Coturnix japonica: one gene and its partners. The protein of the gene in region 6 purifies or fractionates together with the protein of the main gene of each other region. This does not show direct contact. Links are inferred from orthologs where the notes say so. Each region holds a gene or a part of one and is shown on either strand. Other genes may lie near its edges. The genes, in order: EXOSC2, EXOSC9, C1D, EXOSC3, ZFC3H1, MPHOSPH6 and EXOSC7.

What was found.
Region 1: the proteins of MPHOSPH6 (region 6) and EXOSC2 purify together in Homo sapiens (affinity purification with mass spectrometry; 8 studies listed by BioGRID and IntAct, with this or other methods). This does not show direct contact. The link is inferred for Coturnix japonica from reciprocal best matches to the Homo sapiens genes MPHOSPH6 and EXOSC2.
Region 2: the proteins of MPHOSPH6 (region 6) and EXOSC9 purify together in Homo sapiens (affinity purification with mass spectrometry; 5 studies listed by BioGRID and IntAct, with this or other methods). This does not show direct contact. The link is inferred for Coturnix japonica from reciprocal best matches to the Homo sapiens genes MPHOSPH6 and EXOSC9.
Region 3: the proteins of MPHOSPH6 (region 6) and C1D purify together in Homo sapiens (co-immunoprecipitation; 3 studies listed by BioGRID and IntAct, counting the BioPlex papers as one, with this or other methods). This does not show direct contact. The link is inferred for Coturnix japonica from reciprocal best matches to the Homo sapiens genes MPHOSPH6 and C1D.
Region 4: the proteins of MPHOSPH6 (region 6) and EXOSC3 purify together in Homo sapiens (affinity purification with mass spectrometry; 6 studies listed by BioGRID and IntAct, counting the BioPlex papers as one, with this or other methods). This does not show direct contact. The link is inferred for Coturnix japonica from reciprocal best matches to the Homo sapiens genes MPHOSPH6 and EXOSC3.
Region 5: the proteins of MPHOSPH6 (region 6) and ZFC3H1 purify together in Homo sapiens (affinity purification with mass spectrometry; 3 studies listed by BioGRID and IntAct, with this or other methods). This does not show direct contact. The link is inferred for Coturnix japonica from reciprocal best matches to the Homo sapiens genes MPHOSPH6 and ZFC3H1.
Region 7: the proteins of MPHOSPH6 (region 6) and EXOSC7 purify together in Homo sapiens (affinity purification with mass spectrometry; 4 studies listed by BioGRID and IntAct, counting the BioPlex papers as one, with this or other methods). This does not show direct contact. The link is inferred for Coturnix japonica from reciprocal best matches to the Homo sapiens genes MPHOSPH6 and EXOSC7.

The regions. Positions count from the first base shown.
Region 1 is NC_029532.1:4,558,166-4,562,297, forward strand, and holds the start of EXOSC2 (exosome complex component RRP4), read left to right. Parts: upstream 1-1,332; 5' UTR 1,333-1,371; coding exon 1,372-1,496; intron 1,497-1,569; coding exon 1,570-1,671; intron 1,672-1,849; coding exon 1,850-1,895; intron 1,896-3,037; coding exon 3,038-3,127; intron 3,128-3,331; coding exon 3,332-3,397; intron 3,398-3,546; coding exon 3,547-3,615; intron 3,616-4,132. UniProt on the Homo sapiens protein: Non-catalytic component of the RNA exosome complex which has 3'->5' exoribonuclease activity and participates in a multitude of cellular RNA processing and degradation events.
Region 2 is NC_029519.1:48,282,512-48,286,586, forward strand, and holds the start of EXOSC9 (exosome complex component RRP45), read right to left. Parts: upstream 2,801-4,075; 5' UTR 2,731-2,800; coding exon 2,665-2,730; intron 2,524-2,664; coding exon 2,429-2,523; intron 2,215-2,428; coding exon 2,095-2,214; intron 1,871-2,094; coding exon 1,768-1,870; intron 1,391-1,767; coding exon 1,253-1,390; intron 1,081-1,252; coding exon 998-1,080; intron 763-997; coding exon 630-762; intron 533-629; coding exon 444-532; intron 261-443; coding exon 114-260; intron 1-113. UniProt on the Homo sapiens protein: Non-catalytic component of the RNA exosome complex which has 3'->5' exoribonuclease activity and participates in a multitude of cellular RNA processing and degradation events.
Region 3 is NC_029518.1:378,284-382,290, forward strand, and holds the start of C1D (nuclear nucleic acid-binding protein C1D), read left to right. Parts: upstream 1-1,207; 5' UTR 1,208-1,387; intron 1,388-2,866; 5' UTR 2,867-2,936; intron 2,937-3,643; exon of another isoform or gene 3,644-3,646; 5' UTR 3,647-3,719; coding exon 3,720-3,726; intron 3,727-4,007. UniProt on the Homo sapiens protein: Plays a role in the recruitment of the RNA exosome complex to pre-rRNA to mediate the 3'-5' end processing of the 5.8S rRNA; this function may include MPHOSPH6.
Region 4 is NC_029521.1:3,509,690-3,513,857, reverse strand, and holds the start of EXOSC3 (exosome complex component RRP40), read left to right. Parts: upstream 1-1,368; 5' UTR 1,369-1,399; coding exon 1,400-1,675; intron 1,676-1,748; coding exon 1,749-1,898; intron 1,899-2,842; coding exon 2,843-2,994; intron 2,995-4,168. Other genes in the region: DYDC1 (DPY30 domain-containing protein 1), read right to left, coding at 56-127, 669-791, 904-1,050. UniProt on the Homo sapiens protein: Non-catalytic component of the RNA exosome complex which has 3'->5' exoribonuclease activity and participates in a multitude of cellular RNA processing and degradation events.
Region 5 is NC_029516.1:32,989,952-32,993,886, reverse strand, and holds the start of ZFC3H1 (zinc finger C3H1 domain-containing protein), read left to right. Parts: upstream 1-1,135; 5' UTR 1,136-1,239; coding exon 1,240-1,822; intron 1,823-3,935. UniProt on the Homo sapiens protein: Subunit of the trimeric poly(A) tail exosome targeting (PAXT) complex, a complex that directs a subset of long and polyadenylated poly(A) RNAs for exosomal degradation. The RNA exosome is fundamental for the degradation of RNA in eukaryotic nuclei.
Region 6 is NC_029526.1:14,002,535-14,006,738, forward strand, and holds the end of MPHOSPH6 (M-phase phosphoprotein 6), read right to left. Parts: intron 3,025-4,204; coding exon 2,934-3,024; intron 1,962-2,933; coding exon 1,864-1,961; intron 1,428-1,863; coding exon 1,286-1,427; 3' UTR 501-1,285; downstream 1-500. UniProt on the Homo sapiens protein: RNA-binding protein that associates with the RNA exosome complex. Involved in the 3'-processing of the 7S pre-RNA to the mature 5.8S rRNA and play a role in recruiting the RNA exosome complex to pre-rRNA; this function may include C1D.
Region 7 is NC_029517.1:39,619,642-39,623,807, reverse strand, and holds the start of EXOSC7 (exosome complex component RRP42), read left to right. Parts: upstream 1-1,366; 5' UTR 1,367-1,442; coding exon 1,443-1,499; intron 1,500-1,601; coding exon 1,602-1,703; intron 1,704-3,888; coding exon 3,889-3,983; intron 3,984-4,166. UniProt on the Homo sapiens protein: Non-catalytic component of the RNA exosome complex which has 3'->5' exoribonuclease activity and participates in a multitude of cellular RNA processing and degradation events.

The DNA of each region.
Region 1 (4,132 bases), on a different chromosome or scaffold from region 6:
TCGCTGCCCACGTGCAAAGACTGGCATTGAGATGTGTGAGGAACTGGGAGCCCGTGGCAGAGCCGCTGCTCTGAGTTTGCATTGGGAGCATCAGCGTTTCCATAGGGTTTGGTGGGAAAGGGAGAATGGGAGGGCACGGCAGGACATCCCGTGTGGATTTTGCTGGTGTGTTCGGAGCTGCGGCTGCACCTGGATGAATCAAGGTTGGGTTTTATGGATCATTTGATAGGAAGGAAAATTGCTTTTGTCCTTTCTCCTCTGTGCCAGCGAGCGCCCAGCAAGGAGACGTGGCACAGCATCACTGGGACCATCAGCTTTGTCTGTTCAGCCGAGTTGGGTTTTCCTCCCTCTATCCCCAGCTGTGCCATGGGGTTTGTCTACATGCCACCAAGGGATGGGAGGCTGAGATGGGCTGTGAGACCCCCGAGGTCAGGCTGCCCGGGGCTCTGAGCACTGTGTGTGTAGGGAGTTGGACCAGGCGGCCTTTAGGAGGGGTTTGAGGGGGGTCCCTTCCAACTTGGACCATGCAATGACGGCCCAGCAGCTGCTCAGCCCCATCCAGCCCTAAGGGAGCGCTCAGCTCTGCTGCCCTCTGGGGACCGCACAGCCCGGAGCGGCTGTTCCCATTAACTTGGAAGGTTGTTGTGTTCATCCTAAATCCGAGGTGTATAAAAGCTCTCATAAAAATAAAAACACTGCGTTTTACTGCCAGAAAAGGGAAAAAAAGAAAAACCCAAGAAGGAAAATATATAATAACCCGTCACTTTAACTTTGTAAATATTTATGTAAAACATTATTTACAAGCCTTTGATATTCTATATTATGGGATTGTATACGCACAGCGCTGTAAATACATTTGTACCTCTCTCTTGTACTCGAAATAAAAAGCGATTCGGGACCGAGCGTGGTTTAAATTGGGGGGAGGGGGGGGCTGTGGGTCCAACCCCATTAATGGGTGCTGGGACCCATAGGGAGCACTCAGCCCCATAGGGATGGATGGGACCCATAGGGATGGATGGGACCCATAGGGATGTATGGGACCCATAGGGGGGCACTCAGCGCCATAGGGAAGGCTGGGACCCATAGGGGGGCACTCAGCCCCATAGGGATGGATGGGACCCATAGGGGAGCACTCAGCCCCATAGGGATGGCTGGGACCCATAGGGGAGCACTCAGCCCCATAGGGATGGATGAGACCCATAGGGGAGCACCCCCTGCCCCATTCACATCGCTGCCCCCCCCCAACCTCCCTGCCAGGAACCAAAATGGCCGCCCTGTACCCAACCCACGTGACTCTCGTTACGGCCCTCATTCAAGATGGCGTCCGGAAGTCACGTGTAACCGCAAGGCGCAGTTCCGCCTTCAACCAAGATGGCGGCGGTGTCCATGCGGCTGCCCGTGATCCGTAAAGCCGTGGGGCCCAGCCGGCCTCGGGGCGGCGAGAAACACCTGGTTGTACCCGGAGACACCATCACTACGGACACGGGATACATGAGGTGGGGATGGAGGAGCATTAGGGGACGGGGCAGGCCGCGGTTTGGGCTCTAATGGCGTCCGTTCTGTCTGCAGGGGACACGGCACCTATGTGGATGAGGAGAAGCTCGTCGCCTCGGTGGCTGGAGCTGTGGAGAGGGTGAATAAATTGGTGTGTGTGACACCGCTACAGAGCAGGTGAATATAGGGACGGGATGTGCAATGGGATGGGTAATAATGGTGTGTAATGTGTGTTAATGCTGTGTAATAATGCTGTGTAATGTGTGTTAATGCTGTGTAATAATGCTGTGTAATAATGGTGTGTAATAATGCTGTGTTAATGCTGTGTTAATGCTGTGCTCTGTCCCACCGCCAGGTACAACGGGGAGGTCGGAGACATCGTGGTCGGGAGGATCACGGAGGTGAGGAGCTGGGAGGACACGGGAGAACGTGATGAGGTCTGACAAAGAAAGAGTGAGATGCTGGAGCACAGAGAGCACTGTGCCATGCAGAGCTGCAGGAGGGCGTTGGTGGCAACCGTAGTGCCCATCCGGATCCATTGTAATGAGCTGCCGTCCAGTGCGCCCATAGGGGGAACAGGGACCCCACACTAAAGGGGGGGACACATAGGGATGGATGGGATCTATAGGGATGGATGGGATCTATAGGGGATGGATGGGACACATAGGGATGGATGGGACACATAGGGGAGTACTCAGCCACATAGGGATGGCTGGCGCCCATAGGGATGGCTGGGACCCATAGGGGAGCACTCAGCCCCATAGGGATGGCTGGGACCCATAGGGGAGCACTCAGCCCCATAGGGATGGCTGGGACCCATAGGGTTGGATGCATGCAGTGCAAGCTGTGGGACAGGGAGGTGGGCATGTCCTCGTGTGAGGCCCCATCTGTAGCACTGTGTCCTGGTGGGGCATCCTCGGTGCAGGATGGACATGGATCTGTTGGAGCACATCCACAGGATGACCGTAAAAGTGATCCGAGGGATGGAACAGCTCCCTGCGGGGACAGGCTGAGAGCTGGGGCTGTGCAGCATGGAGAGGAGATGGCGCTGGAGAGAGCTGAGAGCAGCCTGTCATTATCTAAAGTATCTTTCTGTAAGGAAGAAGGGGACTGACTTCTTAGCAGGGTCTGTTGTGATAGGACAAGGGGAAATGGTTTCAGTCTCAACAGGAGAGATTTACATTCAATATAAGGAGGATGTCTTTTACAATAAGGGCAATGAGGCGCTGGCACAAGTTACTCAGGGTGGTTGTGGTTGCCTCACCCCCACAGACATTCAGGATCAGAGCTGGACGGGGCTCTGTGCACCTGAGGGACCTGCAGGTGTCCCTGTTCATTACTGGGAGTTGTACCAGGTGGCTTTTAATGCTCTTTTCCAACTGAAATGATTCCTTCTCTGACAGCCTCTGCTGCACTGGCCGGTCATTTCTTATGGCTGTCACAGTGCTTTGCTATAGAGTCAGTCATCTGCATGACTTCCCACTTAGATTAGAGACTTAGTTCATTTTCTGAGTGTACATTAACGTTGTTTTTTCTTCACCAGGTTCAACAGAAACGATGGAAAGTGGAAACCAATTCCAGGCTGGATTCAGTCCTGTTGTTGTCGTCTATGAATTTACCTGGTGGGGAACTGGTGAGCACAGTTTGTGCAGAGAAGGACCACAGTGCTGCAGGGCAGGATGCTCTGAGCCCCTCCTGCAGTTAGCACACGTGTGGTTTTGACTTCCCATGCATTTTGCACAGTGTCCTAAGGAGATGATCCTCTCTTTGTGTTGCTGTTAATTAATGTTTTCTCATTCTACGTGACCCATAACTTTTCTTGCATTGTCCATTTTAGAGGAGGAGATCAGCAGAAGATGAGCTTGCAATGAGGGACTATCTGCAGGAAGGGGATCTCATCAGTGTATCCTTTCACTGCTTGTACTTGGACAGAAGAGTCAAAGGGATTGGAAGGGGGAACAGCCAGACCTCAGGCAGGCAGGGAAAGCTCTGTTGGTGGCTGTTGGTACAGGGCAGCATGAAGAAGTCTGTTTCCTTAAGAGGCACTGACAGGCAGAGGTCCAGTCTGTGTTTTCAGATGGGGCTGTATCACTGCACACCAGGAGTCTGAAATATGGGAAGGTATGTTGTTCAAAAGTCTCATTTTGTGCTGGTTGGATTGTATGAGTCTCTAACCCTTGTGCTTAGTGGTCTGTTAGAGGGTCAGATCTTGTTAAATACAGTGCAGTTCTATCCATGTCAGTAGAATTTCTTTGTATTTATATCGAGATAGCATCAGGATAGAGGTTTGGGGGGAGATCCTTAAGGAATAAAAGGCTCTGCAGTAGAGTATGATATTATAGCCCTTGTCAGTAGGTTAGGAAGAATTTTAGCTCCTACATGGGAGCTCAAAGCAGAGTTCCTCATTGCACACATTCCCTCTGAACTGCTGCTGTCCCTCTCCACAGTTACTGCATGAATCCATTTCTCCCACCAGTTGCTTGGGACTTGAGCTCTGGGAAGAAAAATCTTCTATCTCAAACTTTATCGCTCTTCTTCTGCAGGTCATTGTCCCCATGGCTTGCTGCTCACTCCAGGGCTCTATTTTAGGCTTTATGCAGTTGGCATTTATCTCTGTTTTTGCACATTGAAATAAGCC
Region 2 (4,075 bases), on a different chromosome or scaffold from region 6:
GGCTATAGGGCCACCCGGAGCCATCTGATAGCTTGAGTGTCTTACTAGCTTCTAGAAGGGCCAGTGCAGATAAGAGGAAAACTCCCCCCTGGAATAACGAATAGAAAACATACACTTCTGAAGGAGGGTCAGCTTTAGTTATGATTTCTTCTGCTTGTTCTTCCACATTGTTGGTATCTACAGCAGCACTGTCCATTTTGAAGGCAGTGATCTTCTGATTTGATATCGATTCTGCAAAGCCGAACTTCCCACCTTCTTTCCTAGTCATCCAACAACAGACGTTATTTCAGGATATTTCACATATATGAATATAGCAAGCATTTCCATACTTGTAATACTTGAAATGATTACAAACAGAAACAACCTGCTGTTTCATTATAAACTGGCATTAACTTTTCAATCAGTTCTTCAAAGTACTTTCCATTCCTTCCCCAAAAACTCACCTCACTTTCTGGTCGTTCTCCAAAGCTTTCTGAATTAATTCTGTTATTTCCGCAACCTTCACAGCTGTTATTTTACTGCATCTCAGAACCTGTACGTTACATACACGGTAACAGTTTAGAATCATGAAAACATGACTTAAAATAGAACCACAGAACAGATCCTTAAATGTTTTCCTTGACTTTTACCTGATCCTTTAATAGCATAATCCCTCCACTAGACTGGATGGTACAAATTTCCTGATGTTTATTCATGGCAATTACAAGGAGACCATCCATCACACGTTCCTCTCGTTCATTTGGATCCACCAACAAATACGTCCTAGAACCAAGTTTTTAACATAAGACAACAGAAGTTTGAGGTTGACTTTGACTCCCTTGTAACAGTTTTCTTCCTATCTGTGCAAGCTGCTGGCTACTATCACACTGTGGAGAACACGTATGAACGTGTTAAGAAAGCTGTCTGTCAACAAGAGTATTTTCACAGTGCTGTAACAATAATTTTGCACAACTGACAATAAGCTGTTTCTGTCAAGAGCTTTAAGAAGAATTCTTACCCCTGCTGGAAGAAGGCAAAACTGACACAAATAGGCATGTGGTGGATGCTCAGGGGCACAGGATCACGTTCCTCAGGAGAGTACTGAGAAAAGAATTGGTTATTGGTTACTTACATTGTGCAAGAGCAATGTAAAGAAACAGAAAGCAAAGAAAAAAAGTCTAGTCAACTAAATATTAATAAAAAATCTCTTTTGGTTCTCCTTGTATAATACTTCCCATTTACGACTTATGGAGGTAAACCTGGTATGACTTACCACCGTTATTTCTTTTCCTTGCACAGAAACATCTGGTCTGCGAAAATGGCATAGGGCCACGATTCCTGCTATGCTGGCAGCATCTATAATGTTACCATCGTGATTTAACAGGTGCAGATCCACACGGATTTGCCAGACCTGAGGGAAAACATGTATAACTGGCAATGTGTAACATAATTCCACAGAAGCTCCTGCTTTTCCAAGACACTTCCAGTTTTTGAATCACAAAAAAGAGCAGCTTACATTCCTCGAGTATTTGATTTAAGAGTTAGGATGAAAAAAGACCAGTATTCAAAACAAGACAGAGCACCTGAAAAAGTGACTTTTATGTTTAAAATCATTAAACATGTTTATATGTGATTGAATTCGAGAAATATTTAGATGTATAACTAAGGGACGTGGCTTAAGTGGGGAAATATTGGTGCTATGTGGATGGTTGGAGTGGATTATCTTGGAGGTCTTCTCCAAGCTCAGTGATTCTATGCAATGGTTTGAGACTGGTAGTTTTCTCCTACCTTTTCACCAGCAACAACGCAGAGGGATTCTGTATCTATACACTTGGAATTCCTCAGGCATCGTTCTATCAGTCTGTTCACTTTGACCAGTAACTCGGATTGCCTGTTCAAACAAAATCAACCCAAATTCAACATCATTATGGTACATACTTGTGCGTGTCCAAGCAGTGGTTCATACATTATCACAGTATCAGTCTCGTGCGGGTTGGAAGGGACCTTAGAGATCATCAAGTCCAACCCCTGGGATTCGAGCCTCTGTGTAGCAGAGCGGCACTTCTACCACTTGCACCATTATCCTTGCCTGGACTTCTTAAGAAAGCGACGTACCTGCCAGGCTCAAAGCCAGGTGCAGCCATGGGTGAGAGCTCCAGGTTACAGAACAGAATCCCTTCTGTAGCCCGGTTTGGCTTCGGGGGAACGAGTTCACATGAGACTTGCCCAAGGACCCTGCAGAAGGAAATAAGCAGCTAGGTCAGAAAGCTTAGCAAGAAAATACCTAACGATGGAAACAAAACATATAAAGAAAAAACAAAGACCCATGTGGATGTTTTCTAACACATTTCTCGTTGTTCAGCTCAAGTTTCCTTTCCTTCACCCTGAGGGCGGTGAATGCGCATAGAGCTGTGTGTGTCCCAGCCCGGAGACCCCCGGCCGCTCCTACCTGGTCTTGCCCAGCTCCACCACGCAGCAGCCGCGCTCGGGCCCGAAGGAGATGCGCACATTGCGGTAGTCGTAGCACTGCCGCCCGTCCAGCCGCTGCGGGGACAGACACACACACACACACACACACGGGGCGGTCAGCGCACCACGCCGGGCCGCGCCGCCCCGCAGCTGAGGCGACAAGGGCCCGGGGCAGGGTACGGGGCAGGGTACGGGGAGGCCGGTCCGGCACCGCACCTTCCTCTCCTGGATGGCGCGCAGCAGGAAGCGCCGCTCGCAGTTGGACAGCGGCGTCTCCTTCATGGCAGACCCCACAAACGGACGGCGTGAGCTCGGCTGCGGGACGTCATCAACACGCGGCGGCCGCTCCAGCCGCCTCACCACAGAGCGCGGCCGGCGGAGCTGCTGAATGGGGCCCCCTGGCGGTGGGCGGACGCGATTCTTCGGTGCAGGCGCCTAGTGCTCTTTGTGAGAGGAATTCCTTCTTCCCTAATACCCAGCCTACACCTCCCTTGGTGCAACTTGACGGCATTCCTTCTTGTCCTGTCACTGTGACCCAGAAGAGGCCGACTTCACCTCACCGTGACCTCCCTTCCTGAAACTCAGGACTTGGTCTTGTTGAAGCTCATACAGTTGGTCTCAGCCCACTGATTCAGCCTATCCAGATCCCTCTGTAGAGCCTTTCAATGTCATTTTGCCTGACAGTAGAAGTAAACACTTCTCTTCAATGAGAAATCTTCACTGTTATTGAACCAGCCCACATTAAATCAACTTATCTTGCTATTTCTTTCCACCTTTTCACTGAATCATAGAGTGGCCTGGGTTGAAAAGGACCGCAGTGATCATCGAATTTCAACCCCCTGCTATGTGCAGGGTCACCAACCAGCAGACCAGGCTGCCCAGAGCCACATCCAGCCTGGCCTTGAATGCCTGCAGGGATGGGGCATCTACAACCTCCTTGGGCAACCTGTTCCAGTGCGTCACCACCCTCTGTGTGAAAAACTTCCTCCTAATATCTAACCTAAACCTCCCGTCTCAGTTTAAAACCATTCCCCCTTGTCCCTTTGTTTTTTTGGTTTGTTTATTTTTCCCCACCACCTCCCTTTTCCTTTTTTCTATTTTTCTCTTTTTTGGGGGGAGGGGAGGAGAGGGTTGGAAAGTACAATGACTTACTGCCAACTGTATTTGGAATCACTGGTATTTGTGCTCCAGGTGTGAAAACTGGACCTGCAGCGTTTGCATTGAGGTCGACCACAGCAGGCAAGCAATTAAGCTTAAGCATTTTTCAGTGCAGTTTAATTCTCGTAGCTTCTGTGCAAGAAGAGAGAGAGCTGAATTTCATGCTTAAATGGACATTCTGTGCATGACTAATGCAGCAGTTCAGATATTTAGCAGGAAGTATCAGGGCTTCCTTGGGTATCTTAGCTGTCACTGTTATTGATTCAGCATGCTGCTTATCTTGGGAAGGATAAATTAATCAGTTCTACTTGGATCTCGTTCACTAGCACTGTTTTGTTATAACTGCTGCATTTGCAAGGGAAGATAATGCTTACCATCTCTCTAATACTCTTACAAAAAACATTATATTGTCTACCAGTGAAAAAGAATTGAAATCTGGAAATGGATGCATTGCTCAACAAGTCATCCA
Region 3 (4,007 bases), on a different chromosome or scaffold from region 6:
GCCACAATACAGTGTCCTGTTGAAGTGGGTGAATTATCACCTGTTGCCTATTTTTTCCAGAGTTCAGCTATGATATGTCCTCTGTTTATTAATAAAGGCTTTTTTCCTCCTCTTCATTTTTTGTTACCTTCTGTGGAAGCTTTCTGAGTGTTTAGTGAGTATTTTGAGCCTGCGGTGCCATAAAGCCTCAGGTCCCCAGGCAGCCCTGCCACAACAATGAAAAATAACAATAAATTATAAGAACAGTTAATAAAATCAGTTCATTTGCATCTCATGCTAAACCTTTCATCTTCTGAGTCATCAATCTTCCCACAGAGCTGACAGAATTTCTGCTTCATGTTCCTTAGAGCTGTAGCACAAGCAGGCAGGATGGCAGACCCTTTCTGCTGCCTTGCAGACCTGTGGCATCTTCATATCCACCAGTGTTTTCTCTTCCTGACATTCCCATTCTTTTTCTCCCACATCCCGGGAGAATGTATAGCAAACCTAAGAGCAGCTGCATGGGATGAGACCCCTTCCAGCCCCCTTCCCTGCCTCTTTGGGGGATGTGTGCAGGTAAATAAATCTCTCCTCTAAATTGGATGTATTTGCATCCAGCAAATATAGTTTCATATGTAAAGTAACCAGATACAGCATCCAGCACTTCACCACATCCTGTCATTTAATCTAGCTGGCATGGACACAAGCTCTTTTGATCTTTATTATCTCCCTATCTGTTACGTTAAAAAAGCTTTAATCAAAGAGTTTAAGCCGGTTTTATTGAATTACATTATTTTCCTCCCCAAAACAGTTACATCAAGCTCTTTCCTTCTTTCCATATACTTTCACATCTGTATTTTGATTAGAAATGTTTCCAAAAGGGAAAAGAGCCTCTGCTCAGTAAGTTTAAAGCCATTCTAATTTAATTTGAATGCAGGAAAAAAAAAAAAAAGAAAAGAAAAGAAAAACATTTCCAGAGCTTTTTATCTGCAAGGTGCATCTAAGTTCACCTGGGCATAGGGTGCAGTGTAAACCATTGCCAAATCACAACTTAACAATTAATCAAACCCAATCTACGGGCTGACCAGAGGTCCCACAACACTTCTCAGTTTAGCTTCAAAATAGAGTAGCTTTACGCTTACAGAATCCTTCAGTTTTCATGTAAATATAATGGTTCCACTGTGGTAACATCCCCCTTCCCGCCCTTCCCCCGACGTGACGCCATCACTGCGCGCCTTGGCAGGCCCCGCCTCTCGTCGCTTTTCGTCTCGGTGGTGGTGGGGCTGAGCAGGGAGGAATCGGGGCCTTCTTCCCTTCGGTATAAGCGTCGTCACATCGCTCAGTGTGATCTGAGGGCTTTCGGAGCCGCCTGGAGCTGCTGTTTGGGAACGAGGGCCTGTAACGTTTGGTGCGTCCTCCCGGCTTCGTGTGTCTGTGACTGAGGAGATGCGGAGGTGACAGGCTGAGAGCTGGGGCTGTGCAGCCTGGAAAAGAGAAGGCTCTGAGGAGACCCCAGAGCAGGCTTTCGATATCTGAATGGGGGGCTGTAAGAAGGAAGGGGACAGAATTTAGCAGGGTCTGTTCTGACAGGACAAGAAGAAATGGTTTCACATTAATGAGGGTAGATTTAGATGCATGAGCATGTCGCAATAACAGGTGTTCTGGATGTACACAAAGACAGCTGGTTTTATCATTGTCCTTGCTGATGGGAGTACTGACAGGATTGAGCAGAACAAGAGACACTGTATATTGGATTTGTTCAGCAAAGGAAACGACTTTGTTATCGGCTCTGGAATCTGTCACTGCTGATGATGCTGCACAGAGAATCAAAGTGTTTTGGGAATCATAGGGATCGAGTTGGTTTCCGCCTATGTAGATAGGGTAGAAGTGAATAAGGGCCAGGGTGAGGTACTTGATTCCTCACCATATCCCTGTGGGCTGAAACGTGAGCGAGCCTTAAAAATCTTATTCCCTTCCTTTGAATTTTGATCTTCATTTAAGACAGAGTAAAATAAACTTTGTAGATCCTCTGGGGCTGCTGAGTTTAAATCTCAGTGGCATCAGCGAGAACCTGGTGGCTGCTAACTGTATTGCAGGGCTTTTCTGTGCAGGTTTGAATACTGCCAGGAGCTTAGCTTTGAAGTCAAAGTTAAAAGTGAGTGCTTGGCTGTTACCTATTTATAATACAGTGCAAAGGATAACTACCGTGTCTTGAGCTGGGATGTTTTTAATGGGATCAAGAGAAGCCTGCTGCTGTGTATTTGGTATTTCATGATAGGCTTAATTGCTTTTGCAAACAAGACTGTGGGTTGGTGTTTGAAGAGCTCTGTAATTGCTGTTAGTAGATGTGCCTTGAAAAACCAGCTCTATGGACACAGTGATAAGTAGCAAGTAACTAATTATTCGTTATGTACTGAGCAGTCTCTGCCATGGATGGGAGCCTTTGGTACTTACAGCTTTGCAAATATGGGATTAAATGGATATCTCTGTCCAAAATAAAGTGGATTTCTTTGCCCAAAAGAGGTGTGTAATTAAAAAGCTTTGTCGTGGTTTTTAGTAGCTTTAAATTTAAGATATTTGTTCCGTGTTGCTCCGTTGCTGTACAGGTACAGCGGTGAATTAATGTTGGAGCAGAACAGACATCTGCCATGCATCACCTACAGTCACTACAGGTTCTGATTCAGCATTGAAATAGGGAGGACAGTGCCAAATTTTAGATGCTGGCAGAGACGGTTTCTTGTACCGCCATTGTTAATGCATTTGATTGGAATCTGAAAGCAGTTTACACACCCCAACTGACAGTGTTTGCGTTTCTTTTGGTTTTCTATACATAATCTATAGCTATCAATGAAAAGCAGGAAATCTCATCTGTTTTTTTTTTTGTTAGGTGAATCATCTGGAAGAAAAAGATCTGAGCTCAGTTGGAAAAAAAAACAACCTTCTAGTGCTTAAAAAAGGTGAGAACTAGCAGGAAGTGCTAAGTGAGATGCAATATTAAACACAGCGCTGGATACACTTGTTACAAACTATTTCAAGGAAATACTTTTTAATCCTGAAAGAGCTATTTTAATTCTGGGTGAAGAATCACGTGTGATGCTGAACATACTTTAATTCTGTCTTGGAAGGGTTCATGTTGCCGTGTTGATATATACCTGTAGCTTCTGTTACTTTATGCTTCTTAAGCAAAATCATTATGCACCCACAGACTAATTAGAGTTTGTTTTTCAATGTAAGAGGGACAGATTTGATGTCCAGGTTTTGTCCACAGATTGCATGTTCAGCATTATGTTATTACTTGCTAATGAAGATACGTTCTTATCCTTATTTTCCCCAGTGCTCACATTTGATCAGCAAATATGTTCTTATCTTCAAGTATCTGAATATGTGTATTATTCCTATGTTTAAGTTGGATCTCTGTGGCAAATAAAATACAGCAGAAAGTCATCAACTCCAACAAAAGCAATCTGTGTAGTGAACATCCACTCCTGGAACTGAATTTCTGCTCGTTCAAAATACATAGGGAAACACTTGCAGAACTTTGAGGAAATCTTGCTTGTGGTTTAATAAATGAAACGTAACTATTGAGGGCAGTGTAACCTTTAGGCATATTTACAGAGTCACTGATACGCTCTCAGTTCCTCCCATCCTTGCCTTTGTCATTCAGCAGGTGTGACCGTGCGCTGTTTGTGTTGGTTTTGGCAGGAACAGTTCTGTGGAGCTTCCGCTGTACATGTTTTCTAATGCAGCGTAAGTTTGTTCTCGTTGATTTAATACTATTGAAGCTATTGTAGGCTGTTGACTGCTGCCTTCTTGTTGGCATGTGCCAACAGTGTAACATATCCTGCTTGGAGATTAGCAATGCTGAAACAACAGTCTAATGAAAAGAGAGAGGGGCCCTGCACAGCAGGAGGAGGAACTTGCTCTGGTTCCTGCTGAACTGCAAACATGAGTTTGACACATTTCTCCCTCCTTCCTTGGCACAAGGAGCAGACTTAGGCTGAGCGTCCTACCCTTCACTGCTTGTGTAC
Region 4 (4,168 bases), on a different chromosome or scaffold from region 6:
AATAAGAGAGATGATTAACAATATTTCTTTATCTTGACTAAGCTTTGGCTTAAACCTCTGGATCTTTCTGCTGCTCCTGCATGTTCTCTTCTTTATTCTGCTGTTCCATCTTCTCACGTTCTTGTTCCTATTGTAAAGAGAAGACAGCTGAAGATAGCGTATATGCTTTTGATACTCAGTTCCTCGTGCTCTTTAGTAGTTAATATTTATATCTCCTATACTTTGGATTAGGCTCTTTGAAGCTTTGCACAGCATCTATTATAGACAGACTAATCCATATAGATTCTATGGGAGGAAAAAATAGCTAAGATAGTTAACTGCAGAAGACAGTCTACTTATCCTAATCTAATTTTCTAACATATCTTTAGTTAGTTTCTCTTTAGCTTAGTCTCTTCATTTTTGGTAACATCTTGTCATGTAGCAGGTAAGTTTTTCTCCCCAGCTGCTCAGCTGTCCTTTCTAATTCCTTTCGAAATAATGATATTTTCAAAACGCAATGTTTAAGCACTTTTTGTTATCTTTTCCCTTTCAAGATCAGAATACAATTGTAGGTACTTTCCAACATTCTGATTCTCTTATGATTCTATGTTGATAATGACTACTATTGTAGTGAGAGCTACAAGTTGACCCAGCATCACACGCTACTATAATTATGAACAACTATTAACCTGCCGTTGTTCTTCAAGTTTCTGTTGTATCAGTAGCTCTTCTTCCTTCATTTTTCTTAACATTTCAAGTTCTTCCAGGGCTGCCTGCCGTTCTTTTTCCAGTTTGGCCCTTTCCAACGTTCTCTATTTCAGAGGTAACAAGAAATCAATGAAAAAAAAAGGAAACAAAACACAAAGAGAGATTATACAGCATCAGTTAGATTGACATGAAATGCTTTGCCCGAGGTAGACCCACCTTCTTTTCTTCTTCTAGTGTTTTCTTGTAGTTGTAGATCCAGTGTGCCAGGTACTCTATTGGGTCAGCGGGCCGACGCTCCACAACCTCCGCCAGACCCTTTTTCAAGCAGCTTCCCAGACATCTCCTCAGGTATTGAGACTCCATTCTCACCTACTGACAAACCGACAGATATTAGTCACCGATATCGGAATTCAGACAGCAGTTAGAGGAAGTGTTGACTGCATCACATCCCCAGTGTGATGTTGGTGGTTTTATCAAAGCTCATTTCATCAGGCAATTAATATGAGAAGGTGGTAGCGGTGCTGTCCCCCGTTCCCTACCGCTTCGCTCCTACCGGCCCGATCGCACAGCGCGTCCAACCGCGTTACCGGGCAACCGCGCTCCCGGCTGGATCCTGCGTCAGGCGGCCGGGCGGTGTCGCTGTCGTTGCGCTCTCGGCCCTTCCATCGCCGCCGCCATTTTGCGTCTGCTTCCGCCGGAAGGGCCGCACGCGATGGCGGGTGGGGGCGGCGTGCCGGCGGAGACCCGTGTGGGACAAGTGGTGCTGCCCGGCGATGTGCTGCTGCTGCCCGAGCACGGAGAGCCCGACCTCGACAAGCTGCCGCTGGGCACCAGCGCGGCCCCGCGGGGGAGGCTGCTGTGCGGGCCGGGGCTGCGGCGCTGTGCGGGCGGGCTGCTGGTCACCAAGTGCGGGCTGCTGCGGCACCGGCAGGCGGGCGGCGGAGCGGCGGCGGGCGGCGCCTACTGGGTGGACTCGCAGCAGAAGCGGGTACGGCGGCAGCGGGCGGCGGGGGGCGGTGATGTGCGGGACGAGCCCGCTGATCGCTTGTACCCGCTTGTAGTACGTGCCGGTGAAGGGAGACCACGTTATCGGCATCGTGACGGGCAAGGTGGGGGACGTGTTCCGGCTGGACGTCGGTGGTAGCGAGCAGGCCTCGCTGTCATACCTGGCCTTCGAGGGCGCGACCAAGAGGAACAGGCCCAACGTGCAGGTAACGCTGCCCGCCGGGAGCTTGCCTTTGTAAACGGTGTTTTTACCACTCGGACCATATAAACGAGGAACGTGACTTTTTTCACAGAGCTTTTGTCATGGCCTGTACGGGGTGTCCCGATGAGGCCGTGAGTTTTTTCTGTTTTCTCCGGAGCTTTTTGTGCTTCTTCACTTCTGACCTTACACCTTTCCCATCGGTTAACAGTGGCAGGTGCTACTCGTGCAGTAACGTGGGTCCCAAGGGGCCACCCTGAGGCTTTAAAGCATCCTCTGAACGCTGGTGCTGGTAGAGGAGGGTTTGCTTTGTAGCATTTACAAGTTGTTTTGTGATATGTGCGTTCACCAGAAACACTGTCAGCATGGTGTAAAATGGGCTGTGATTTTAAATGGAATAGACTGGTATGGCTTCTGGTGCGCCTTCTGAGTAAAGAATTGTTTCCTAACATGTAACCTTTATCTCCCCTCTGTTAATTCAAAGCCATTCCCCCTTGTCCTGTCACTACTAGGCTATATAAAAAGTCACTCCCTATAAGCACTGGAAGGCTTCGATGGGGTCTATCCAGAGCCTTTTCCAGGCTCAACAAGCCTAACTCTCTCAACTTTTCTTCACACAAGAGGCGCTCCGGCCCTCTTCTGACCCATTCCAATGGTCTTGTGTCAGGGGCCACAGGCTTGGACAGAGTACCCCAGGTGGGGCCTCACAATGGCAGAATAAAGGGGTCAGTTACCTCATTCACCCTTCTAGCTATCTTTCTTTGGATCCAGCCTGGGATCCCATTGGCCTTCTGAGCTGCAAGTGTACGCTGCTGGTTCTTGTCCAAGTGTTCATCCAGTTTACAACTGTTTTGTTGTCTCTTTATGGACTGAATGTTTCTTACAAATGTGCATTGTTATCTTCTCTAATGATTCTTTTTTTTTGTTGTTTTCTGGCACTGCTTGCTTTAGGTGGGAGACCTTGTTTATGGTCAGTTCCTTGTAGCAAATAAAGACATGGAACCAGAGATGGTCTGTATAGACAGCAGTGGAAGAGCAAGTGGAATGGGAGTAATTGGACAAGACGGCTTCCTCTTTAAAGTTTCCTTAGGTCTGATAAGAAAGTAAGTACTAAGAAAACCAGTTGTACTAAAGTGTTGGGGTTGTTAAACTTAGCATGTGTCTAAACAACACACAGTCATTAGCTCCTCTCCCTCCAGACCCTGTCCTGCTTTTCCCTATAGGCTTGGGAATAGAATCGATTAAAAAACAGACACAAAGTAGAATTCATGGGTTGAGATAAAACTGTTTACAAAGAGAAAAGAAAACAAGATACTACTTAAGAGAAATACATATATGTGAATGTATATAGGAAGTTACCCACTGACTGATGCCCAGCTAGGCCCCAAGCAGCAGGAGAGAGAGAAAAAAGGACTCATGTCCCATTCAAAACTTTCCTTTTGCGTAATGTTATATGGTATGGAATATCCCTTTGGCCACTTAAAGTCAGCTGTCTTATTTCTATCCCTTCCCAGCTGCTTGGGTGCCCTGCCCTGTGCTTCCGAGATCCTTGTTAGTTCCCCATCCCCCAGTTGGTAGGATGGTAAGAGAGAGTGGGGAAAAATGAAGTATGCTTGGCTCTGTACAGCAGTGTTCAGCAACAGCTGGAAATACAGGTGTATTATCATTGTTTTTCTCCTAAAACCAGAACAGCATCTTAGCAGGCACTGAAGGAGAGACAATTGTGTGCAGCTGAAACTGGAAGAGTAACATTTTGTTTTTAGGTAGGATATGCACAGCTGTCTCCAATTCAAGTAGTGTGAACTAGCCAGTAACTGCTATGTGGCTGTTGTGCTGCATTTATGCCAGTTTTACTGGGGAAAGGATGCATGTACATTGAACTAGAAACAGTGTGTGACTATCATAAAATACCAGCTGATAGTGATAAGAGATGGTCAGACTAGTTGTTGCTTTGATGTTGAGGGAGGAGAGGTGAGCATCTGTTCTTGGAGATAACAAGTAGCTATGTCATACCTGGGTTTAGTAAGTAATTTGGTTTATGTGTCTTATCAGTGTGAACAGCTAAGTTGTTTTTCAGCCTTGTTCTTGGTAACTCTTCTGCCTAATTAGGAAAACAGCTACAGTGCACAGGTGCTCTCTTTAGGTGCATGTGTTTTGGGAGGAGAACTTCAATTCTGATATGGCTGGATATGCAATTTGAATCGTCTTAACTTTTGGAGTTGCTTTTGTAACTCCAGTGCTACTGTTTAGCTGCTGGCTGATAATGTTGTAATACTT
Region 5 (3,935 bases), on a different chromosome or scaffold from region 6:
ATGCTTTTTTGTCTGTGTCTAGAGATGCAGAAAATATGCAGGAAATATGGTAAAGGCAAAATCAAATTCCATGTTCTTTATTAAGACATATGCTTTCTGATATTTTAAATTGTTCCATCTGAATGTATTGAGAATACGTTCAGCATTTAAAATAAAAATGGTGCTCCAGCAGCTATGTTATATATCCTTTGAATGTATGAAGTCAAATATATCAAAGAGAATTTATTTGTTTTGGATTTCATCTTATGTTTACAAACTGCAAAAAACCTCACAGAATTTCTCCATTTGTTACCTATGGGATAAATGTGGAAGATCCTTCATGTTTTATTCCAGAAAGGCAGTTTTCAAATGTTTGTGTGCTCTTGTATATAATATGTAGGTCCTGAATATATCAGATCATAGAATCGGTTGGAAAAGACCTAAAAGATCATCCAGTCCAACCATTCACCTATTACCAATAGCTCAATAGATCAACACATTCTTTTTCCTCGTGCCACTTTATTCCCTTTATAGTAGAGAACATTATCAGTTAATCAGTTTATTAAATAGTGAAGAATACAGTGGAAGGATCATCTTCTTTCTGGAAATTCAGAAATCAAATTGCCTGCCTCATAACCCTATAATGGAGGAAAAAGAAGAGAATATCATATAAATGAAATGATGTGCCATACAGATTCCATGACTCTGAATTTCTAATAAGCCACTTCACTGGGAGAGCATGTACTTCTAGTCATGTATTTGACTTATAGTGTATATGTATATGACTATATAGTCATGACTTATAGTCATGACAGTCCCGTTGGCTCAAAAGAGATGCAAAGGGCCTTGAGCACATAGTTTTGGGCATCGAGTCTTCTTCAAGATTCAAAAGCGAATAAATAATGACCACACACACACCACTCTTTCACCACTTTACTTCTCCAAGGAGCCCGCTTCCCCTCAACAAGATGGCGGCCCCTCCACCAACATGGCGGCTCGACTTTCTATTGGCGCCCGCACACCCCGCCGCCACGCTGGGAACTACGCTACCCAGAATGCCCCAAGTTTGGAGAAGCCGTCTCCAACCCTCGCGTTCTTTGCGTCGTTGCGTAACAGGGCAGCGGGGGGGCAGGGCGTGGTCTCGCGAGAGTTCCTCGCGGGTCGGGGCTGCGCTGGGTGGGCGGCTGTGTTGGGGGGAGGCGTGGGGCCGCCTTGCGCACGGAGCGAAACCGGCTGCGCCTCGCCGACACTTTGGGCTCCATGGCGGCCGCGGAGGCCGCACCCGCAGAGGCAGCGCTGGATTCTAGCGGGCTTTCCCCTAAAGAAGAAGGGGAGCTGGAAGACGGTGAGATCAGCGACGATGACAACAACGGCTCCGGGCCGTGCGGCGGCGGCTCCGAGCCCGGCGGTGTCGTGGCGGGCAATAGGCCGTACTCGAGGCGCAGGCCGCCTCCCGGCCTCCGCGGCGGCATCTCCCTCTCGTCCTCTCGGCGCTTCCCTCGGTCCCGGCACCAGCCCCCGCCCGAGATGGGCCATTTACACGGCCACGGCGGTTACCGGCCCAAGGACTCGTTCCGCTCACACCCGCCTCCTCTGCCCGCTCCTCGGATGCCGTCTGGCCCGCACTCGGACACGGGCCCCCGGCTCTCCTTCTGGGAGCGCAGCCACAACGCCCTGGACCGATTCCGTTTCCGAGGCCGGCCCTACAGGGGCGGATGGCGCTGGGGTAGGAGCCGGGGCGGTGGCGAACGGGGCGGTAACCCGCCGGGAAGGCCGCCCGGAGGGGGAAACTGCGCTGGATTCAGCGGCGGCCAGGGCTGGAGGGAGCCCTCGCCTCGGAAATGTATCCTTTTATAGCAGGGGGACGGTGGACAGCACTGCCGGGTGGTGCTACGTGGCCCAGGCGCTGGGTGGGTCGCGGCTCATTAGGCTCTGCCTCTCGTAGTGGGAGGCTGGGACGGCGCTGCAGCCTGCCCTGCCCGATCAGGGATAGAGAAAAACATAGCCTGAAACAAAGCCTTGTTCTGTTGGATTTTAGGTGCTGCTGAAGTGAGCCTCGAGAAGCGGCGTCGGTGCGACACTATGTGATTGAAGTGTCCTAGTTGTAACAAACGCTAAGCTGGTTAATTTTCCTTATTGGGCAATGAAGGATCTGTTCTTCTTTCATTTTCACTTATCACAGAATCACAGAATTGTAGGGGTTGGAAGGGACCTCTAGAGATCATCGAGTCCAACCCCCTTGCCAAAGCAGGCTCCCTTATAGCTCTAACAAGGTTATGTGTAGCCAAAGCCAACATCAATTTAAATGTCACTTGGGCCTCTGTGCACGGAATGTGCATTACATGGGAGTCTGGGTAACGTGGAATGCCCCGTTTCTATGTAAAGCCACACCCAGTGTTTCTTGAAGATGTTCTCTACCAGTTGCTCCCGGATAAGTTTTGTGAGGTCATTTTAATCAGTTTTAACGTTTTCTCCCATTAAGAGCAGAAATAGCAAAACCAGTGGAAAAAGCTCTTCACGTTTTCTAGAGCTATTAACTGTAGGAAAAAACAATTTTGATAGCAGCTGTAACTTTGGGGCAGCCTGGCACTGCGACTTAATACAGCTGCATAGTTACCTGAGAACACAGATATTAAAAACAAACAAACCACCCAACAAAACTTGGGTGAAAGAATTAGTGGTTAAAAGTTGCTTTCAAGAATCTTACGCTGCTTTTTTGTCCACTGTGGCCATAGTCAAAGGCTGCAACTTGTTTTTTGGTTGAGCTGCTCATCTCCAAGAATAGGGTTTATTTTCCCTACTTGTGCTAGGACATAAGGCTTCGAAAGCTGCTCATTGGGTCCCTGTGCTACTTTAGAGCCAAGATTATGTATCTGTGTCAGCTGTTCTTTTTTGGTATGCAGAGGGAATATGTAAATTACTGGTAAAGAGCTGTTCCTAATCTCATCTCGTGATGTTAAGAGCGTTCCTTAAGTCTTGGTAACTCTTCCTTCAAGGATTGTTTCTTATCTTGGAGGCAGGGAATGAAGATGTGATCTGCCCAAGGTTGCACAGCGCGCCAGTGCTGAAAATAGATGATATTTGCAGTGTTACTCAAAGTACCAGAAAATAGTTACTTTCTGTGTAATGTGTAATTTGCAGGGCAGGTGTGTGTTAGTCATTCTCAGCTGACCTTACAGTGCTTGATGCAGATACAGTCTTCTTGGACACTTTAAGAGACCATTCAGAAACTGATAATTCAGTTTTCAAACAAAATGAGCAAATGAAGGAAGCATTTTATCACTATTATTACGATGCAGTCTCTGTTTAAGTATTTTAGATGATTTTCTAATGCCCCTTAAGTCACATTTGGTTCTAGTGGGTTAGTTAAGGAAGATTCGTGATTTTCTCTCTAAAATATAAATGCTGTATTTTTCATGTCTTTGCTGTTTATATGAATTGGTTTTACAGTATCCCTGCATATAGAAGTACTTCCATATTGCTGACGTGAGTGGAGGAGGTTTCCAATTAGCAAGTAATTTCAGAAGAAACCTTCACACGGACTGTACAGGGAGGTTCAGTGCATGGGGTGATATTTGGAATTTCACAGGGCAAGTGAGAAACGTGAAGGTCTGCTAACAAGCAGTGGCTTTTTTTCTTTACCCATATAACCATTACTTTGTGTGCACTCTGTAGGAGCAGAAATGTAAATGGATAGGAGTAAATCAGCTACAGTTAAAGAGTTATTTTTTATTTTTCTTTCAATATTAGCTTTTAATAGGTCTTTCTAATTCCTAGCTACTTTAGTGTGGAGCTGTTGAATGGGCCTTCTGGAGAAATTCTTACATAGAGGATTGCGGAGTTCTGGGTCTGAAACAAGGGGCCACAGTGTGACTTAGTTTACTGTTGAATTCTGACCTCACAATTTTTTTATCTCATCAGTCGGTCTCTTTTTGGTTGTAGTTTGTAGGTTCTTC
Region 6 (4,204 bases):
TGAGACTTTCTTCATATAATTGAGTTTCATGTCTTATTTAAAAAAAAAAAAAAAAAAAAAAAGGAAAAAAAGAACCCTCAGGTCCATGCTGGGATGGTCACTGCTTGAAGAATGTGTTAAATTGTAGCTTTCTCCAGAAATTTACCATTAGGATGAGTAATTGAGACATCTAGATGAGGAAATAAAGTAATAGAAAGAAATGACTTTGATTTGAAAGCTATAATGCATTGACCTGCTGCAATTTTAGACAGAACCACACTGACCTTTCTCAGTTTCCCACAGCACTGACTAAAGGCAGTGACGTTTGGGTCCCAGAGTTGCTTCAGATGCTTTTGTTGCACGCTGTACAGAAAAAAAGCTCAGACAACCAATATATTCAGGCCATCCACAGCCAGCACAAAACAGGATCATTTCTTCTATCCGACTGAATTAAGCATAATTGTTTTTTTTTTTTAAACATTAAATTAGTTAAACCACAATGATTAACCACCACCAAAAAAGACCAACAAAAATCAGTTTTTATTAGCTCTCCAAACATGTTTCCGAAGCTGTTATTATGCTTCTATGTTCAGACCAAGATAATTATAAGTTCAGAATTTTTTGGTTGGAAAAAAGAGACAAGATTAGCAAACTTCTTTTGGAAGACAGAAATTAAAGGCTCACAATCTGCTCAAGTGTCAAACTGGAAACGTTGCCCAATATTCGCCTCGCTGGAGGAAAAGCTTTGCTCTAAACTCCTATTTTTAAATATAATATGCTTTATAAAAAAAATAAAATTGAAAAAAAAAAAAAAAGGATTTTGTCTCTGTTCTTTTCCCAGCTTATTTGTCAAGCAGTTAAAAAAAAACTATGTTTCTGCTGAGTGTTTTTTTCATTTTCATAATAATAAAAATAGCAGCAAAAGCTGGACTGCCTCATTGGATTGGACAAAGCTCATCTTTACTGCAAATACTTACTTTAGATGTTATCGTAAAACATATATACTGTTGCTATTGATTGCACGTTGACACTCATCCTAGTTATGCACAACATTAAAAACAGCTGATGGGCTTAATATCCCACACGTCAAAAGCTGCTTAGAGAGGGAAGGATGTATGACATCCATTATATACACATCCACTTCAAAAAATGCTTGTTATGTGGACAGCAGAAATTTCAACAAGAACAGACTGAGATTAACAATTCTACCCTTTATATAAAACAGCAAAAACTCCAAACAATCTTCAGTTCTTGGTGCTATATTTGGTAGGCAACATTTCTGTTAGCTCCAGTTGTGCAGCTGACATTAATCCTGAGGTTTTAAGAACATTTTCCTGGCTTTCTTAGGTCTCGTGTTACTATTCTTCTCTTCATCTTCATCTTGGAGAACACGCTGGTCTCTTTTTCTCATGAATTTCTTCCCTATTGTTCCCACCAGTGTTTCATACCTGTAAACATAATTAAAAAACAACGGTTCTTACTAAAATCAGAGAGAAGTTCAATGCAGGAAATCATAAATGCAATCAGCAATGTAACTATTGTAACAAGCCTGTCACTGTAAGTTTGAGAAGCACAAGTGCGACGTGATCACAGATTATTATTATTATTCACTTTGATCATTTAGGATTTTTAGCAATCTGGAGCTAAGAGGGAATTAGCATAGAATACATGGACGTCAAAAGGCAGACAACAGCTACAAGTTTTTTTTAACCCTGAAAGTTATGGAGATCTTACTGAACAAACACCAGAATTCTTGAATAATCAGTTCTATGAAGTATCAAACACTGTTTTTCTTTGTTTGCTTTTTGTTTCTCCTCCCATATATAATGCTGTAACACAGGACATATTTTATGACATAATCAGTACTGATAAGGAATAACATACCTTCTGGCCATTTCTTCATCAGACACATCAGCCTCCATTTTACCATCCTCCTCAATTTCTTCTTTCTTGCTCTTAGAGTTCATTTGGACCATTAATTTCTGAAAAACGAAGCAAGAAACAGCTTAAACATGTAACCCTGACAAAATGTCAGCTACGCTGAAATAGTGTCACTGCCAGGAAGAATGCATAAAAGGCAGGAATCAGTTTCAATACTGCTTTCCTTCATTTGCAGTACCTTGTTTAGGCTTCTAAAACAAGTGCCTTGTTGCTATGCTGAGTTTGATTTGGTTTTGAGAATAGAGGCAACACAGAGACAGTTTTTCTTTCAGTGAGCTGTACTATTCAAGCATCCTCAACAACATGGCAGGTATCTTCAGGAGACCAGAGATTTAGATACTAATTTTTTTCATTGCGATGCCAGTCTTTGAAATAGTTTTGTTACAGTGGAAAAATATCTGCAAAGATCTACAATAAACTACCAGTAAAAACCGTAAAGCAATGATAGGCCTGGTCACAGTGAAAGCAAGTTCAAAATAACTGAAGGAATGCCCCATTAAATAACCTTGAACAGCCTTCTGTGTGCCTCTGGTTTTGTACTTTCATCTTCTTGTTTCAGTTCAGCCGCAACACTTATTACTATTTCAGTATGCACTAGTTCTATCAGCATGAATCATGCTGGAAAGAAATGAAAGACCCTCTTTGCCCAGAATTTTTACTTTGGAACCTCAAGTTCTTACTTATACAAGTGATGAATAAACAGGGTTGAATGTTCATAAGACCGGGCTCTGAATTAAACAGCAGCAGGAACAGTGAGCTATCTTTCTAGTGAGCAGCACATGGAAGTCTCCTGAGGTCAAGGAAGGAAAATCTGCAGGAGTCACATACTTACTAACCACCAACACAAGGAGGTAAGTGGCGTCTGTTTCTCAGATGCTGCACTGATCAGCATTTTGGCCAAAATCAGTTTTCCTATATAAGGATGGTGCTGCAAAGGCTAAACAGTATGGAGTGTGAACACCAAAGTCCTCATTGCTGAGAGCTTCAATCTTTAAAAGACAATTAAATAGTACCTCAATTTCCGGATTGAATCCTTTGAAGGACATTCTGCCATAAAGTAGATCCTCACATGGCATAAAGCTCCTCTCTTCTATTATATAGCTCCTGCATGAAAGCCCAAACGCAGCAGTTGTCAAACAGTGTGCTTTAATATAATCAAATTAAACAAATGCAAAAAGCATTTGCTGTCTTCCCCCACACAAATAAACAAAACTGCAGTGTATTTTATACCATCAACTACTTTCTGAAGATTAATTGCTCTGATAAATCTTTCAATACAAAGAGCTTGGAGTGCAAAGGAATACTGTTTGCCAGTAAAGCTGTGCCAGTTCCACAAGCAAAATTAACTCTCCTGACAGAAAGCACTCTTTGCTGGTATGATTCCACCTACATTAATGCTTTTGCCAGAATAAAAATACCACATAAATATCACTCTCCAGGTGGCATTACTATACCAGCAAAAGCTTCTAATGAATTTTTCATTGTGATGTTAGATCTGGTATTATTTGAGTCTATCAGGATATAAATGTGTAATTCTCTGTTCAGCAGAGAAAAATTTTCCCATTCCCCTTCCTTTTTCCCCCTCCTTTAATGACCCTGGAAAGAAAAGAAACATGATCCCAAACCATCCATAATAAATACGTTGGATAAAAGTACTTTTTGAACCGTTCCATTCTTTTCCTCTCACACATATGCATCCCTTCCCTCAATCTCTTCATCCCTTCCCTCAAACTACAGGAAATCATGCTGAAGGGACCAAACTCATTTGCCTACCTCAAGGCAGGATTAACTAAACATGTACCACAAACAGCAGAGGTCTATCTGACCTGTCCTCAAAAGGCTTCCAGAGATGAAGAATCCCATCTCCTTTAGACCATCTTTTCCAATAGCCTCATTGTTAGAGATTCAATATCCAACCTGAACCTTCCTTGGTGCAGCTAAAGCTCAGATACCTCTCTGTCATACACGTTAACAGCCACGGACAATAGATTATAAATGTCCTGATTCAGTTACAGTTAATTCCCTGGACCACAGCTTTTTATAAATTATATGTTTTCCTATAGAAGAATTTTGTTCTCTTTTTAAAGGACAGAAGTATTTTCAAAGTAGTTCCCTTGCTACTTAAAGCACCTTTTCTATTCAGCAGGAACGGACATTCGCTTCCCTATTAGCTAAGCCCTCCTTTATTTTTGCTTCATCCATTCTCCCTCCTTTTTCAAAAGCAGGATTTGAAGCGATCTGTGCTCAAGATGATGGAACTGTCCTGAATGGACCCAACCACATG
Region 7 (4,166 bases), on a different chromosome or scaffold from region 6:
TTTACCTCACCCCACCCCACCCGTAGCCCCGCGGTCCCGTGGCTCTGCCCCGCCACCTACCCGCAGGCCGCCGCCCGCCGCCACCTCCCATCCGCCCCGCCGGAGCGGGCGCCCCGCGCGCGGCACTGGGCCCGGCGGAGCGCGGTTCCCCCCCCCTCCCCAAGCGCCGTCCCCTTACGCGATCCCGGCGAGGAGGTGGGGCGGCAACGGAGGAACCAGGAAGTGGCGGCTGGCGGCCGGCGGCCCCGCCCCGGGCCTCGGCACCGCAAAGCCGGGCAGCAGCAGCCGGCACCTGCGGATTTAGCGGCCGCTGCCTGCGCTGCTTGCAGCTTCACCGGGCAGCGTGAGCCCCTGCGTGCCGGGCGGCTCCATCACGGTCTTTTTCCACTTCCAGCTGGCTAAAATGAGGCAGAAGGCATCGCTTTGTCCTTGTTATAAACGACACCGCATCCTGTGAGCAGCGAGGAGCTGCTGGCTGCGCTTCCAGTCTGGGATGGATGGCAGACATGGAGGAAGGAATGAAGGAAGGAAAGCTGCCCCTCCTTGTGTCTGAGCGCTGTGGGTGCAGCTGGGAGCCAGGCAGCACCAGCGCCATAACCTCACAGAATGACCCGGGTTGGAAGGAACCTCAAGGATCATGTAGTTCCAACCCCCCTGCCTGGCAGGGCCACCAAACATACACATTTACTAGATCAGGTTGCCCAGGGCCCCATCCAACCTGGTCTTGAACACCTCCAAGGACGGGGCATCCACAACCTCCCTGGGCAGCCTGTTCCAGGGCCTAACCACTCTCCTGGTGAAGAACTTCCCCCTAACATCCCAAACCTCACTGTGCCCTTAGTGGGCACCACTCAGCGCACCAACCAACATACAGGAGAGCCGTGCTGAGCGTATGGCACCTACAACGTGAGCTAATGGAAGCTGCCACAATAAACACCCCTCAATTACAACGCAGTGTCAAACTGGAGCCTTTAATCGCATTCCCACACCACCAGCACGATGTCTCGGGTAAAACTCCGCATTTCTCCGCGGTCTGACAGCCAGGAGAACCTCAGCTTCATACTCGGGTACCCTCATAGTCTCATAGTCTCGTGTGGGTTGGAAGGGACCTTAGAGATCATCGAGTCCAACCCCCGGGATTCGAGCCTCTCTGTAGCAGAGCGGCACTTGTACCACTTGTGCCACAGGGGGGATTCGAACTCCGGGCCCCAGTGTTGCAAGGCGGCGTTCCTACCACTGCGCCACCGGGGCACACAACCCTCAGGTTACTTTTACCTCAGCTAAGGGCACACACACACACAGGGCCGACCCCACCGCCCTGTACAAGGCGCTGAGGCGACCGGCGCCATTTCCCGCCTGCGGAAGTGCGGCGGTGCGCAGGCGCAGAGCTCGCCTCCTTCCGAGAAGCGGAAGCGGAAGTGCTCTGCAGCGCGCGGGGTGTCATGGCGTCCGTAGTGCTGAGCGACGCGGAGAAGATGTACATCATACACGGCGTCCAGGTAGGGAATAGTTGCTTGTCATCTTTGGTGATGTATTCGGCACGGGAAGCTTGAAAAGCACAGGTTCCTTATGTTCGCGATTACGTTGGTTGTCGTGTTTAGGAGGACCTCCGTGTGGATGGCCGTGGCTGTGAAGATTACAGGTGTGCAGAAGTAGAGACAGATGTGGTGTCCAACACGAGTGGATCTGCGAGAGTGAAGCTGGTAGGTGAACGGCTCAGGAGTCGTCTACATTGCTGATAAAACTGGCTTGTTTCGCTTGGCTTATGATAAATAATTGCTGCTTGTAAATACGTCCATGTGTGTCTCCTCATATGTGTCTAATATGTTGCTCCAAAAACAGCCCCTCCTATTTTATGATGTTGGCCCACAGTATCATAAGCAGATGTTGGTGGTGTGGTAGTAGAGGTTGAACCTTCCCAACAATATTTCATTCTATTGTGTTGCCCTGTGACTGATGACAGCAGATGTGCAGTCTGACAGAATGGTGTCTGACTTGGAAATGCAAAGATGTGGTATTGAATTATGTCGTGTTGAAACGATTGTCCCTGTTGGCATTCATTGTCGCATGCTGAATGCTGATGGAGACCCAACAGCGAACGTGAGCACAGTGAAGCGGGGCCCTGGGCAACCTGATCTAGTGAAGGCGTATGTTTGGTGGCCCTGCTAGGCAGGGGGGTTGGAACTACATGATCCTTGAGGTCCCTTTCAACCCAGGTAATTCTGTGATTCTGTGTGGTGGTGCATTTCACCTTGTGAAATACAAGGCATGTTCTAGATGACCATGCACGGCTGTCATACGATGAAATGAACTGTCTTGATCAGCTCATTTGTGCAAATCAGCAGATTATGACCAGGGAACTGTGTACAGAGCTGAATATCAGCTTCATTGCATTAGAAATGATGGTGACAATGTTGGAATATCAGAAAATGCATGCCAGGTGGCTCCCATAAGTGTTCACAGAGGAGCAGAAAGAATACTGTATATCACACAGTATCACAGTCTGGTGTGGGTTGGAAGGGACCTTAGAGATCATCGAGTCCAACCCCTGGGATTCGAGCCTCCTGTGTAGCAGAGCGGCACTTCTACCACTTGCACGACAGGGGGGATTCAAAGTTATAAGTTTGTCAGGATCTCTTGAACCAATACAAGGCTGAAGGCAACAGTTTCCAGGATCACATCAGTAGTGATGATGAGATGTGGTGTCACCACTACGCACCGGTGAGAAAACGCAGTCCATGGAGTGGTGACATGTGATTCCCTATTGAAGAAAAAGTTCAAGAGATAGCCTTCAGCAGGCAAAGTATTGTGAACTGTCTCTTGGGATAGGAAAGAAGTGATCCTTTTGGATTTCCTGAAACCCAGACAAACCATCAGCTCTGACTGCTACATCATGACACTGACTAAGCTGAAGGCTTGAGCTTCCAGAGTCAGGCAGAGAAGAAGACACCTTTTCTCTTGCAATGCGATAACACCAAGTCCCATACCAGTTTCAGGACCCTGGAGCACGTTGCCAAATTTGTCTGGACTGTCCTACAGCACCCACTGTGTAGTGTGGATTTGGTGCCTTCTGTCTTCCACCTCTTTGGGCTTGATGGAAAATAGACTGCTCAGGCAATGCTTTCCTAGCAGTGGTGCAGTCATAGCTATGAAACAGTGGGTTACCTCTGCTGGTGCAGATTTTTATGAGTGCAGCATGCAGTCTCTTGTTCATCAGTGGTGAAAATGCAGAGTGATGGTGACTATGTTAATAAGGTTTTGTTGCTGAGAATCTGTTCAATCAAATAATGTTATTTTGCTCTTTGCACCTCTTATATTTTCTGTGGAAATAAATAGAAGACGTTACTTTCAGAGCGACCTATGCATGTATGTATGTGCTTAGCTCTAATTGACATGATAGGTTGAGGAAATAATGACAAGATATATGAATAATTCAAGTTAGCTTAATGCATTTGAGCTAAATTTATAGTGGAGTGCCTGAAAGGCCTTCAGTCTGAACTAATCTGCTATTGGGTGTTAGATGCTGTTGTGCCTGTCACTGGAAAAAATAATTCTGCTCCTTTACAGTGAAGCAAAACTACTTCTGGCATGTGTTGACTGTAAAGAAAACAATTATTTTTTGGCGGTATTATAAACATTCTGCAGAAATAACTGATCCAGAACTGCAATGATAAAAAGGTATGGCTATTAAGATTGTCTTATATACACAAAGAAAGCTGATATGTGGGCACAGAATTGTTCTCCTAAAGCCTTTCTGTTCTGCAATTCTCTAGTAGAGCAATTAGCAAAGACAACAGAATAGATGGTAGTGTCTGCATGCTGTAGGCATCTCAACTGAGTGTATTTTGCCCATAGTTCTAACTGTGTGATGTATTTTTGTTTTAACAGGGACACACTGATATCTTGGTTGGTGTAAAAGCTGAAATGGGGACACCGAAGTTAGAGAAACCAGATGAAGGTTATCTGGAATTCTTTGTTGACTGGTTAGTATAGTAGAAGAAAAGGTAATGGAGCAGTATGCATATACACTTTGCTTCTCACATTTGAAATAAAAAACCTAATCAGATCTGAAATGTGAACCTTCACTGCCCTAACCTGCTTAGTGTCTGAGTAACAGCAGCAGTTTATTTTACTGTCTTAGCTGTGCTGAATGTTCAGAAACATCA